3 linked regions of the Callithrix jacchus genome follow. The protein of the gene in region 1 interacts with the protein of each later gene in a pairwise test. Links are inferred from orthologs where the notes say so. Each region holds a gene or a part of one and is shown in the gene's direction. Other genes may lie near its edges.

What was found.
Region 2: the proteins of DACH1 (region 1) and FGF12 interact in binary tests that used the Homo sapiens proteins (3 or more experiments, as listed by UniProt). The two-hybrid records come from large-scale screens. The link is inferred for Callithrix jacchus from reciprocal best matches to the Homo sapiens genes DACH1 and FGF12.
Region 3: the proteins of DACH1 (region 1) and RNF14 interact in binary tests that used the Homo sapiens proteins (3 or more experiments, as listed by UniProt). The two-hybrid records come from large-scale screens. The link is inferred for Callithrix jacchus from reciprocal best matches to the Homo sapiens genes DACH1 and RNF14.

The regions. Positions count from the first base shown.
Region 1 is NC_133502.1:43,445,210-43,449,395, forward strand, and holds the start of DACH1 (dachshund homolog 1), read left to right. Parts: upstream 1-1,301; 5' UTR 1,302-1,741; coding exon 1,742-2,574; intron 2,575-3,580; exon of another isoform or gene 3,581-3,671; intron 3,672-4,186. UniProt on the Homo sapiens protein: Transcription factor that is involved in regulation of organogenesis. Seems to be a regulator of SIX1, SIX6 and probably SIX5.
Region 2 is NC_133516.1:21,261,458-21,265,107, reverse strand, and holds part of FGF12 (fibroblast growth factor 12), read left to right. Parts: intron 1-655; coding exon 656-766; intron 767-3,650. UniProt on the Homo sapiens protein: Involved in nervous system development and function. Involved in the positive regulation of voltage-gated sodium channel activity. Promotes neuronal excitability by elevating the voltage dependence of neuronal sodium channel SCN8A fast inactivation.
Region 3 is NC_133503.1:40,423,014-40,426,663, forward strand, and holds part of RNF14 (E3 ubiquitin-protein ligase RNF14), read left to right. Parts: intron 1-195; coding exon 196-347; intron 348-3,650. UniProt on the Homo sapiens protein: E3 ubiquitin-protein ligase that plays a key role in the RNF14-RNF25 translation quality control pathway, a pathway that takes place when a ribosome has stalled during translation, and which promotes ubiquitination and degradation of translation factors on stalled ribosomes.

The DNA.
Region 1 (4,186 bases):
CTAAGTAAGTGAAGATACTTGAAGATATGAGCAGCAAATAGATTTGACCTATGTTCAAATCATATGTGAGTCAAAAATCCTTGAATAAATAGCTCGATGCAACAAGTTAGAAAACAGAAGAAAAGGAAAGGAGGAAGAGTCAGTCTAAACTCAGCCTCACGTTTTTTTAAGCACAGCTACCGAAGTCTTTACAAGTCAACTAGTGAGCTGTTTTTGTTCTCATTATTTACAAAACATCTATTATTGACAAATTGGAAAGGACTTTGCAAAACTACAGCAGCACTTTTCAAACATGGAAAAAAAAAACAAAAAACAAAACTATTGTGTTGTCCAAAAAACACATTAACCACTGGCCTTGGGTCTTAAAGGACAATGAGGATAGTTGGTTACTGTGTAAGACAGGTGAATTAATTATAGAGTTTTGAGTAAGAAAAGCCTTTTTCCACTTTCTAAATCTTCAAGGATGCCTTATCTCCTTGATCTCTCTAAGTATAAGCGGTATTTCTGACTTGCTTTTGGGGCGACAGTGAAGTTATTCTAAATCATGCACATCAGGACAAGCATTTCTTTCCACAGCATATTAAGAAATAGGGAATTGAATACAGCTTTCCATTATTCTTAAGCGATTTCTGACTGACTTCCCACCACTTGAAAATTGCCCTGGAATTTTCACTACCTTTATATAAATAAATGATTTAGTAGAGAAATAAAACAATCAGATGCAAAAGAATATTACGCTTTGCTTACATGTGAATTTTCCTCAAAATAGTTTCTGAATAATCATGAAGTGGGGGCTGTTTTCCTTTCTATCTCATTGCCAAAACGCCTGGAGATGGATCCTAAATCCTTGAAGGAGCAAGCTCGGGGCGCTCTGGCTCGTCTTTAAGTTGGCAGGCGATTGTTTAGAAGCTTTGGAAAAAATTACCAGTCGCCGCGGACGAAATGCAATGTGAGACATGCAATCTAACGGTAGTATAGAAGAGAAGTGGAAGATCTCCCTCTCCTTTTCCGATCGCCACTTCTGCGTCCCCGGCTTTTCCTCTCCGTTCCTCCCACAGTTTCTTTCTTTATCCTCCCCCTCCCCTCCTCCTTTCCTCGCACGCTCCCTCTCCAGTGTCTCGCGCTCTCGGAGTCTCTGCTCCGAGTTCCTGGTTGGATAATTTGGGTTAATACTAGTGAGTGAGGTTTTTGCGGCTTCAAAGGGTATTTCAAGTTTCCGGAGCTCCTCCCCTCTGCACCGTGTGACAACAACAACTCGTCCAGCCGGCAGCCTGCACTTTTCAGCTCATTTTCTCTCTGTCATTCGCCTCTCAATCTTTGATCAATGTACTTGCCAGGGAGAGCCCAAGTCCTTCAAACCTCCTCCTTTTCACCTTCATCCTTAACTTTGTGCTAGAGCGGGACCCACACAACAACAGCCGACCCTCCCCGCCCCCGCCCCCACCCCCCCAAACCAGCCCTCCATCCCAGCCCCCGGAGAGGACTCGCATTTCGACTTGCGGGACACTTTTGTGCGTTTCTCTCCAGAGCGCCTCTCGTGCTCGCCCCTCCTGCGCTCGCTCTTTATCACCTTCACCTCCTTTTCTCCCCCTTCTCTCCCTTTCTCCTTCTCGTTCTCTCCTGGAGTTGTTGTTGTTGCCCCCCTCGCTCCTTCTCCCCCCTTTTTTCCCCTTCCCCTCCCGGGGTGTGTGGCAACTTTTCCCCTCGCTTCTCCTCCGTCTGCTTCCCCTTATATGTGACCATGGCAGTGCCGGCGGCTTTGATCCCTCCGACCCAGCTGGTCCCCCCTCAACCCCCAATCTCCACGTCTGCTTCCTCCTCTGGCACCACCACCTCCACCTCTTCGGCGACTTCGTCTCCGGCTCCTTCCATCGGACCCCCGGCGTCCTCTGGGCCAACTCTGTTCCGCCCGGAGCCCATCGCTTCGGCGGCAGCGGCGGCCACAGTCACTTCTACCGGCGGTGGCGGCGGCGGAGGCAGTGGAGGCGGCGGCGGCAGCGGCGGCAATGGAGGCGGCGGTGGCAGCAACTGCAACCCCAGCCTGGCGGCCGCGAGCAACACCAGCGGCGGCGGCGGCGGCAGCATCAGCGCTAGCGGCGGCGTCGCCTCCAGCACCCCCATCAACGCGAGCACCGGCAGCAGCAGCAGCAGCAGCAGTAGCAGCAGCAGCAGCAGTAGCAGTAGCAGCAGCAGCAGCAGCAGCAGCAGCAGCAGCTGCGGCCCCCTCCCCGGGAAACCCGTGTACTCAACCCCGTCCCCAGTGGAAAACACCCCCCAGAATAATGAGTGCAAAATGGTGGATCTGAGGGGGGCCAAAGTGGCTTCCTTCACGGTGGAGGGCTGCGAGCTGATCTGCCTGCCCCAGGCTTTCGACCTGTTCCTGAAGCACTTGGTGGGGGGCTTGCACACAGTCTACACCAAGCTGAAGCGGCTGGAGATCACGCCGGTGGTGTGCAATGTGGAACAGGTTCGCATCCTGAGGGGACTGGGCGCCATCCAGCCCGGAGTGAACCGCTGCAAACTCATCTCCAGGAAGGACTTCGAGACCCTCTACAATGACTGCACCAACGCAAGGTGAGTAGCGGGGGGTAGCCTCCGCCACCCGAGCCCCTTCCCACCCGCCTGCTCGCCATACCCTCGCTCCCTTCCCGGCGCCGCTCGCTCCGCGCGCCCGCGAGTCGCGTGCCCATGCGAGCGCGGCCCTCTCCTCTCCCTGCTCGGGGCTCACCCGCCGCGCCCAACCCCCTGAGAAGTTGGCACCTCACCCTACCCAGACCTCGGTCTTGGGCCCGGTCCGCCCCCTTGCCCGCTGCGTCCCGGGGATGAGCTGTAGTGGGACGCGGGAACTCTTAGCCTCAGGGCGGAGGGGACTAGAGGGAGAAAGACGGCGCCTTTCCTGCAGCCACAGCCCCCTGCCCCGGGCGCGCGGGTGCCTGGGGACACCTCTCGGAGCTACGGCCGGCTTTCGTGCGCTCCCCATGGCCTGGGCTCCTTCGCCAGCCTCCCGGCACCGATGGGGCTGGTCGGTGGCGCCGAGCGGCGTCCTGGGGGCGGGGAGAGGTCGTGACCTGCCCCGCAGGGCTTGGGGAGCGGGGAGACGTGCTCCGGGTGAGGGGCCCGCTGGGAAAGGCGAGGGAGCCCGCCTGCAGCAGAGGAGGGCACTTTGAGGTCGGGAGGGAAACGACCGGCGAGGCTGAGAGATCCGGACCTTCCCGGGGGGTTGAGCTCCGGGGAGTTGAGCTACGAAGTCTGGAGGGGAAGCCCGCCGAGGGGAGGGGTCTGTGTGTTCGCGCATGTGTGCCTGTGTCTGCGTGTGAGCGAGTGTGCAAAGGAAATAAGGGGATTCGGTGGCCCCGGGGCAGATGCGAGGGCACCAGCAGGTTTTCCTCGGTAGGGGGAGGTGACCGAGTGCCCGAGACTCAATGGAAGCTGAACTGGAGAGATTGGGAAGGAAAGCGACGGAAGCGCGCTGTCTCTCGATCTCTGTCTCTTTCTCTCCAAAGTGTTTTCTTTCTATATTTCTCTCTCTTTTCTTTTCTTAAAGGGTAGTAGCTTACGCAGCGATCAGGTGCACACTTACACTGAGATGCTCAGCGGGCCTGCTACTCTGTGCCTTGGCTTCCCCAGCCCAGCAAAGCGCGCGCACGGAGACGGCGGCGGGACGGGTCCCCAGCCAGACCAGTTTTATGCTAATGAAGGCTCAGTGGGGGAAGATCTACCGGGAGGGGGCGGGAGTGGGGCAACCTGTCAGTTTCGGGGTAGAGACGATCATTCCACCCCCTTTCACAGCTCCGCTTTGTCCCTACGGTTCGCTGCCTGGAAGCGCAGACGCAAAAGTTCAGACAGATGCCGGGAGAAAGAGAATAGGGAAAGTTGAAGACTTGAAGCAGGCACGTGGGAACTGCGCGCAAAATTTGCGCGGAAACTTCGGTACCCTCTAAATAAGTTTGAAGGTTGAGAGGAGGAGCGGAGTTGGTGTGTGCCCCCGCAGAGCCAGGGAAACTGAGGTGGGAAGGAAGGAAGTGTAACAAGGAGACCAGAAGGACATTGGGATGAAAAAGCGCTAGTTTTTTCCACGGAGGAAGACTCCTAGCTTAGCGCCCGGGAAGACTGTGAAACGAAAAAGATTCGAATTCCAGTCCAGCAATTGTCCTATCCTGACCTAGCCAGAAATTCTTTTCCGTGT
Region 2 (3,650 bases), on another chromosome or scaffold:
ATGACTTGACTTTTTTTTTTTTTTTACTAGAGAAATGACCTTTGGAATACTGAGGCTCCTCTCTGGTGAAGTATTTAGTGAAGATGAAATTTACATTTTCACATATTTCCCAGTGACATCTCATGGCCACGGGAGTTTTGCTATTGCCTGTGGTTCTCATCCAAACTATTCTCTCTGGTTGAACTTGATTACAAATTCAAAACCCAGGATCTTCTGATGGACAGCTGACACCCTGCAGAAATAGAAATCTTATGGACCTGATTATGACACTAGAAACTTTAGTAATTGCAGAGGCATTTTGGCCTAAACAGTCATTTCTCGAATGGGGCTATAAACTTGGTGAAATCTTGTAGTCAGACACCAGATGCACAAGGGAGCAAAATAATTCACTTTTTAGCATGTCTCTGTATTTTCCTAATCATAATTAGCCTTTATTTATTTGCATTTAGTTTACTGCTAAAAGTGTTATGGCTCTACCTCTAGAAGGAAGAAAAAAGCATAGATATGTTACTGAAATACTCAACTCCCAAACAGGTAATTCAATATTGAAGCTATTGGCATTTATGTATTTACTTACAGGATTTTTTTTTAACAATTTGTAAGTGTGCATTTTTATAAGCCAAGTAAAAATTTGAATAATTATTTTGTTTTGCAGAACCCCAGCTGAAAGGGATTGTGACAAGGTTATTTAGCCAGCAGGGATATTTCCTGCAGATGCACCCAGATGGTACCATTGATGGGACCAAGGACGAAAACAGCGACTACAGTAAGAAACATTCGCTTCTTACAATCTGATTACAAATCAAATGTATGGCCCAGTGTATCTTGTACTTAAAGCATGGCTAGGCTGCCTTACCAAACTATGCCTTTCAAAGTATTTAACTAGGAATAAGCTAATGTCTTTTCCTTTATCCTACTTGCAGTGATTTCCTACAGCAAAGACGCAGTTTATGAGAGAGGTTATGCACTTAAGAGAAGATAAGAGGCTTAAAGGTATTCCATTTGGTCAGTGGGCAAGAATATACTCCCATCACAGTGTTTTTAGGCAAGATGATAATAAACACTCATAGGAACAATACAAGCATATCTTCTAACACAAGATGGTATTTAAATCCCAGAACCAAGTGATGAGCAAGTTATAGTTCAATAATGAACAAGTTATATATTTCTCAGAACACAATTTCTGACAGACAAAAATTACCTGTTAAGGTAAACACTGAGTATATGCATATATATATGTATAAATAACATTTATATATGTTATTTTATATTAAAGGCAAAATTGCTGATTTTAAAAGAAAAATATATTTGAATATTGTGAACATATATAGTATATATAATAAATATATATAATATAAGAAGATAATGAACACTGATAGACCTGAAATGGAATTAAACAATTTTTGGGAGGAAATAAAAATGCTGAGCATTCAAAGATTAATAACAATATCTCTGGAAATAGTTTTTAAGTAATCTAACTGTAGAGTTGACAAGTTCACAAACTAAATGCAATCATCAAGGTATGACAAAATGAATTTGCAGTCTAGAAAAATTTCAAATTTGGCCGGGTGCGGTGGCTCAAGCCTGTAATCCCAGCACTTTGGGAGGCCGAGACGGGTGGATCACGAAGTCAAGAGATCCAGACCATCTTGGTCAACATGGTGAAACCCCGTCTCTACTAAAAATACAAAAAAAAATTATCTGGCCATGGTGGCGCGTGCCTGTAATCCCAGCTACTCAGGAGGCTGAGGCAGGAGAATTGCCTGAACCCAGGAGGCGGAGGTTGCAGTGAGCCGAGATCGCGCCATTGCACTCCAGCCTGGGTAACAAGAGCGAAACTCCGTCTCAAAAAAAAAAAAAAAAAAAATTTCAAATTCAAGCTCCAGAAGCGAGAATGATAGCTCTCGTATCTCTTTCAAATTTTGCATAATCATATACGGATAACTGAAGGTAAATTTATGTCATTCTTAAATTATGTACAGTGCCATATTGTTTTTCTAACATTTGTCTGTCTTTGCTGCTAGATCTTTGGCATTGAGCACACAATAAATGCTCACTGATATCTGTCCAAACAAGTTGTGATTCTGATGGATGTGATTTTTGTGATCAGGCTAATAAGCTACCAAATGCATAAAGTAATTTAGGAAGCCAGATGTTTTATAATGAAATATCTTTTAAATTAATATGAAATATTTGAAGAAAACTTCAAAATCCCTAATGAATGAAAATGTTCTTGTCCTCCCTTTCTAAGTTATTAACTGTTCAATTAATATTACACATATAAAATATGATTTACAATAAAGAAAAGACCTTATTACAAAGAATTTCATTTCAGTTTTCTTGCCCTCATTTTGTTTTTGTTTTTGTTTTTGTTTTTTTTTGCTAAGTTGTTGATTGACTGATTTTGGTTTGAATTGTCAGTTTGTGTTTCTGTGAAAGCATTTTTTAAATGATTAAAGTTTTCAATTAAGTAGAGAAGAATCAGGATGCTTTCTCTCTGTATATTCTCACTTCTTGCATCTGTACATCAATGTAGATTTAGTGAGGCTACAAATATAGATGAAATAGTCAGGGAACCGCTTAGTTGTGTCACTTATCTGCATTAAGTCCAAGATATTACCAGTTCTTCGGGTTTTTTTTTTTTTTTCCTATAAAATGAGATGGCTGGGGCCGGGTGCGGTGGCTCACGCCTGTAATCTCAGCACTTTGGGAGGCCGAGGCGGGTGGATCACGAGGTCAAGAGATCGAGACCATCCTGGTCAACATGGTGAGACCCCCGTCTCTACTAAAAATACAAAAAATTAGCTGGGCATGGTGGCGCGTGCCTGTAATCCCAGCTACTCAGGAGGCTGAGGCCAGAGAATTGCCTGAACCCAGGAGGTGGAGGTTGTGGTGAGCTGAGATCGCGCCATTGCACTCCAGCCTGGGTAACAAGAGCGAAACTCCGTTTCAAAAAAAAAAGATGAGATGACTGGAGATGATGATGATATATCAACATCCCTGTCAATACCGTCTATATAACTTTTTAAAAAATTGAAAAAATTATAAATTGATGAAGATAGAATCGACCCCCAAGAAACCAATTAGCCACATATATTCTACAAAAGGCTACCTTAACCCAGCCAACTATTTTGGAATTGTATGACATTTATCATGGGGCAGAGAGACAGAAGGGTGGAAGTGCAAGTGTGGAGTCAAACTAGGACAAATCCTTCCTTCACTCTTTCTAGGAAAATAATTGACAATGCTTGTTCTGCTGATGCTGGGTCAACTGCTAGTGTTAAGTCTACACCTAGGCATACATTTGTACCTTCCTCCATACATATATATCTTAGCATAATGTCATTATGCATACCACACACAAACACACACATACACACACACACCAGAGAGCATGCATTGTGTCAAATATGTACTTTAAAAAATTTTCTGAACTCATAAATTTAAACTAATATTTTGTTAAGATAAACTACTGAACATACTTTTTAATAAATTTTTAAAAAATTATTTAGGTGTACAAAATATAAAAATTAACACAAGTTTATCTGGATACTTAGCACTAGCTTTAAAATTAATTTAAAATATCAATATATTTGAACCTCCTTGTTGTGATATCCCTGATAGAATATTGCTTTCCTTCATTATCAGAT
Region 3 (3,650 bases), on another chromosome or scaffold:
TTAGATTTTTCAAGGGGTTGCAATATTTTTTTAAGGTGGCGGTTACCAAGTTAAAATTAGGAAATAGAAAGTCCTTTGAGGAGGGTTTTTATTCCCTCTTACTAAAGCATTAAGTCTTTCTTGAGCATTGCTCAACAGTAATGGACACTCAAGTATTGACCAACTGATCCTTTCTAATCTTTGTTTTTGGTTCAGGCAATTCAAATGAGTGTCTCCAGAATAGTGGCTTTGAATACACCATTTGCTTTCTGCCGCCACTTGTGCTGAACTTTGAACTGCCACCAGATTATCCATCCTCTTCCCCACCTTCATTCACACTTAGTGGCAAATGGCTGTCACCAACTCAGGTTAGACTTGAAACTTAATTTTTCCTATCCATTTTTAGAAACTTAAAAATTGTCTTTAATTGAAGACTACCTTAATGATCTTGAATTCAGTGCATGAAAAACAAATGGCTTTGGTTTTGTAATTTTTTTCCCTTGCCTTGATGGATCCTGATGCTAAGAAATTAAAAATGCTTGGTGTTTTAAAAAGGAATGGCAGTAATTAAAGCAATCATGAATTGTAATAGGAGTAATTTTTAATCAAGTATATTTCTTTTCTTGTCTTGCTGTTTTCCTATTTAATCTGTGTTATAATGTAGACTATGAGATCTTCCTCATTTTTCTTAAATATTGATACTACTTTTTTTCTTAGGTTCTTATCCATTCCTTAAATGAAAGATTTCACTTTAATTAGGACTAAAAATTGAGCTAATGTAGTTATAATAAGAAAATTTTCTGAGTAAATACAATAACTGCTTTGCTTTGTAAAAATCTATATTAATAACAAGTAACAGTCAACTGGTATCACGTAGACATGAATGTATACAAGTAGAAATGTGTACAGTTCCTGTAGATATCTCATTAAGGCTTGAGGCCTTATGTAAAGAACCTCATTTCCTCTGGGTTATATATACTTTTCTAGTAACAGCCTCAACTCTTGATTGAGACATAAATATGACTTGAAGCTAAATATAGATAAAGTGTTCTGGGATAGATAATGAATCAATAGCAGCTGCTTTTCTAGAAGTCATAATGAAGATTGATAGACTGATGTGTATTAAGACGAAAGCTCAGCCTGTGCAACATGGTGAAACCCAGTTTCTACAAAAAAAAAATACAAAAATCAGCCAGGTGTGCATCCCTGTACTCCCAGCTACTCAGGAGGCTGAGGTGGGAGGAACACTTGAGCCTGGGTGGCAGAGGTTGCAGTGAGCCGAGATTGAGCCACTGCACTCCAGGCTAGGTGACAGAGAGAGACCCTGTCTCAAAACAACAAAGCAAAACAAAACAAAAAGCTGTCAGATTTGCTGACCTCAAGGGCTCATTAGTTTTTCTCTTTGGATCATACAGTTTTCATTCCCCCATCTACCAAGCTAATCTTTCAGGTTAGAGTACTTTTGTAAATTTGAGCTTATGGTTTAAACCTTAAAAAAGATAATACCATTAGAATAAAAAGGAATATTACTTTACATTCTAATATCTGTGCCAGAGGCAGCAGATGCAAGACAGTTGATCTGTTCAGGAATATCAAGACTGTTTAGCATTTAGGTCACTGATAATTGGCCGAATTATTTAGATATTCATAGTCCCATTTCACCAGTGAGCTTTTCATACTTTACATCCGTGCATGTGTGTGCACCCGCACACACACATGCACAAAACAGGGACAGATTAACTGGATGTGTGGTTGCAGTTTCAGATTGCAGCTAACCAGCATCCACTTAATGCTGGATTTGGGTGCGGGGGTGTGTGCTGGGGAAGAGAGTTGTTTTATGTGTTACAGCTAAAATTTTTACAGTAGAATTCTTTGTCAAATAATTGTTTATGCATATAATTGACATTTTAATTGGTCTCTTATATTCCTTCTTGGTTCAATTCTTGTTAGTTGATCTACCCTGATTCCTTGTCATTATGACTCTCACCTGTTAATAGTGAAATTGACAACGTTATAGGTGCCATTCCCCGAATTGGGGTGGGTAGACAGAGGGAAGTGGTTTTAGTTTTCTAGTATTTTCCCCTATTCCTCCCCCAGTATACTCACATAGTCTCTTGCTCCTTTTCCCTTAATTCCCCTCTCTCTTCAATTTACATGCATCCCAGGTGCATCTGTCTCCTCCCCCCTCTCACCTCTCCCCTTCTCTCCCCTTCTCTCCCCTTCTCTCCCCCTCTCTCCCCCTCTCTCCCCCTCTCTCCCCCTTTCTCCCCCTCTCTCCCCCTCTCTCCCCCTCTCTCCTCCTCTCCCCCCACTCTCTCCTCCTCTCCCCCCCTCTCTCCTCCTCTCCCCCCCTCTCTCCTCCTCTCCCCCCTTCTCTCCTCACTCTCCCCTCTCTCTGATGGAGTCTTGCTCTGTCACTCAGGCTTGAGTGCAGTGGTGCAATCTCAGCTTACTGCAGTCTCCACCTAACAGGTTCAACCGATACTCCTTCCTCACCTCCCGAGTAGCTGGGATTACAGGCGCCTGCCACCACGCCTGGCTAATTTTTTGTATTTTTTAGTATAAACGGGGTTTCACCATGTTGGCCAGCTGGGTCTCAAACCCCTGACCTCAGTTGATTCACCCACCTCAGCCTCCTAGAGTGCTGGGATTATAGGCATGAGCCACCTCGCACAGCCCCAGCTGCCTCTCTTGAGAAGGGACTGGAGAAGAAAAGAAGTTGGAGAATGGCTTCTTCATGGGACTTGGTAGCTCACACAGCACTCAGAGCCTCCCTTTTAGTATTTATCACATTTTACAGATTTTTTAGCAGATTTCTCAAAAGCATGGTTGATTTATAAGCATATTTATGCAATGTGAAAAACCATTAGTTGTTCAATCTTAACTGATTAATAAGTAAGGTAGTACCTGTGCAGGGTTTAGTCAGTGGCACTATGCGGAGTGTAAGAAACAGGAAATCTTGTCCCTTTTTATTTGTCATTTAAATTTACAATATTTGCCATCTGGAAGGCCTACTTTTGGATGTTTACCTAAAAAAGAAAAGCTGCTTATAATTCCTGTGCTCTATTACAAATATTTTATATTTCTAATGGAGAATCCTCTTATATTTGCCTTTCAAATTGAACAGACCACTTTTAAAGAGAAAAACTCCAAATAATTTAACTTCAGTTGCTTATCTTAGGAAGTGTAAGCTTTCTCTATGGCTGCTAAATCATGCTGAGGGCTTCTGATTATGACCAGGGTCAATGTCAGTCAGCTTTTCTCCATTAACTGGGATCTGATATAAGCCCAGATTGCTTAGTTAAAAGCAGCTTGTAAATCTAAATCTAAACAAGGACTCTGAGGCTGAATTCTGTTAGTGATTGTTTCAGATGAGTTGACTTCTTGATAGAACTGAAAATTAATTTTAAAACTTGGATAGTATTTTTAAATGATTCTTTTTCTAACCATTATTCTAGGATACTGACAGGGCTAGGACTCCTAATGGAAGAAAAATAGTTTATTTTTAGAACTAGATCTGTTTCTCCTACATGAAACTTACGGCAATACTAAAAGATTAAAGAACAGAAAAAAGTCCTCCATTTCAGTGACTAAAATGTGCAGCTATTTCTCTGTCTTATGGAGTCTTCCTGTTTCTCTTGTTCTCATGGTTCTTCTTGCTCCTGACTTTG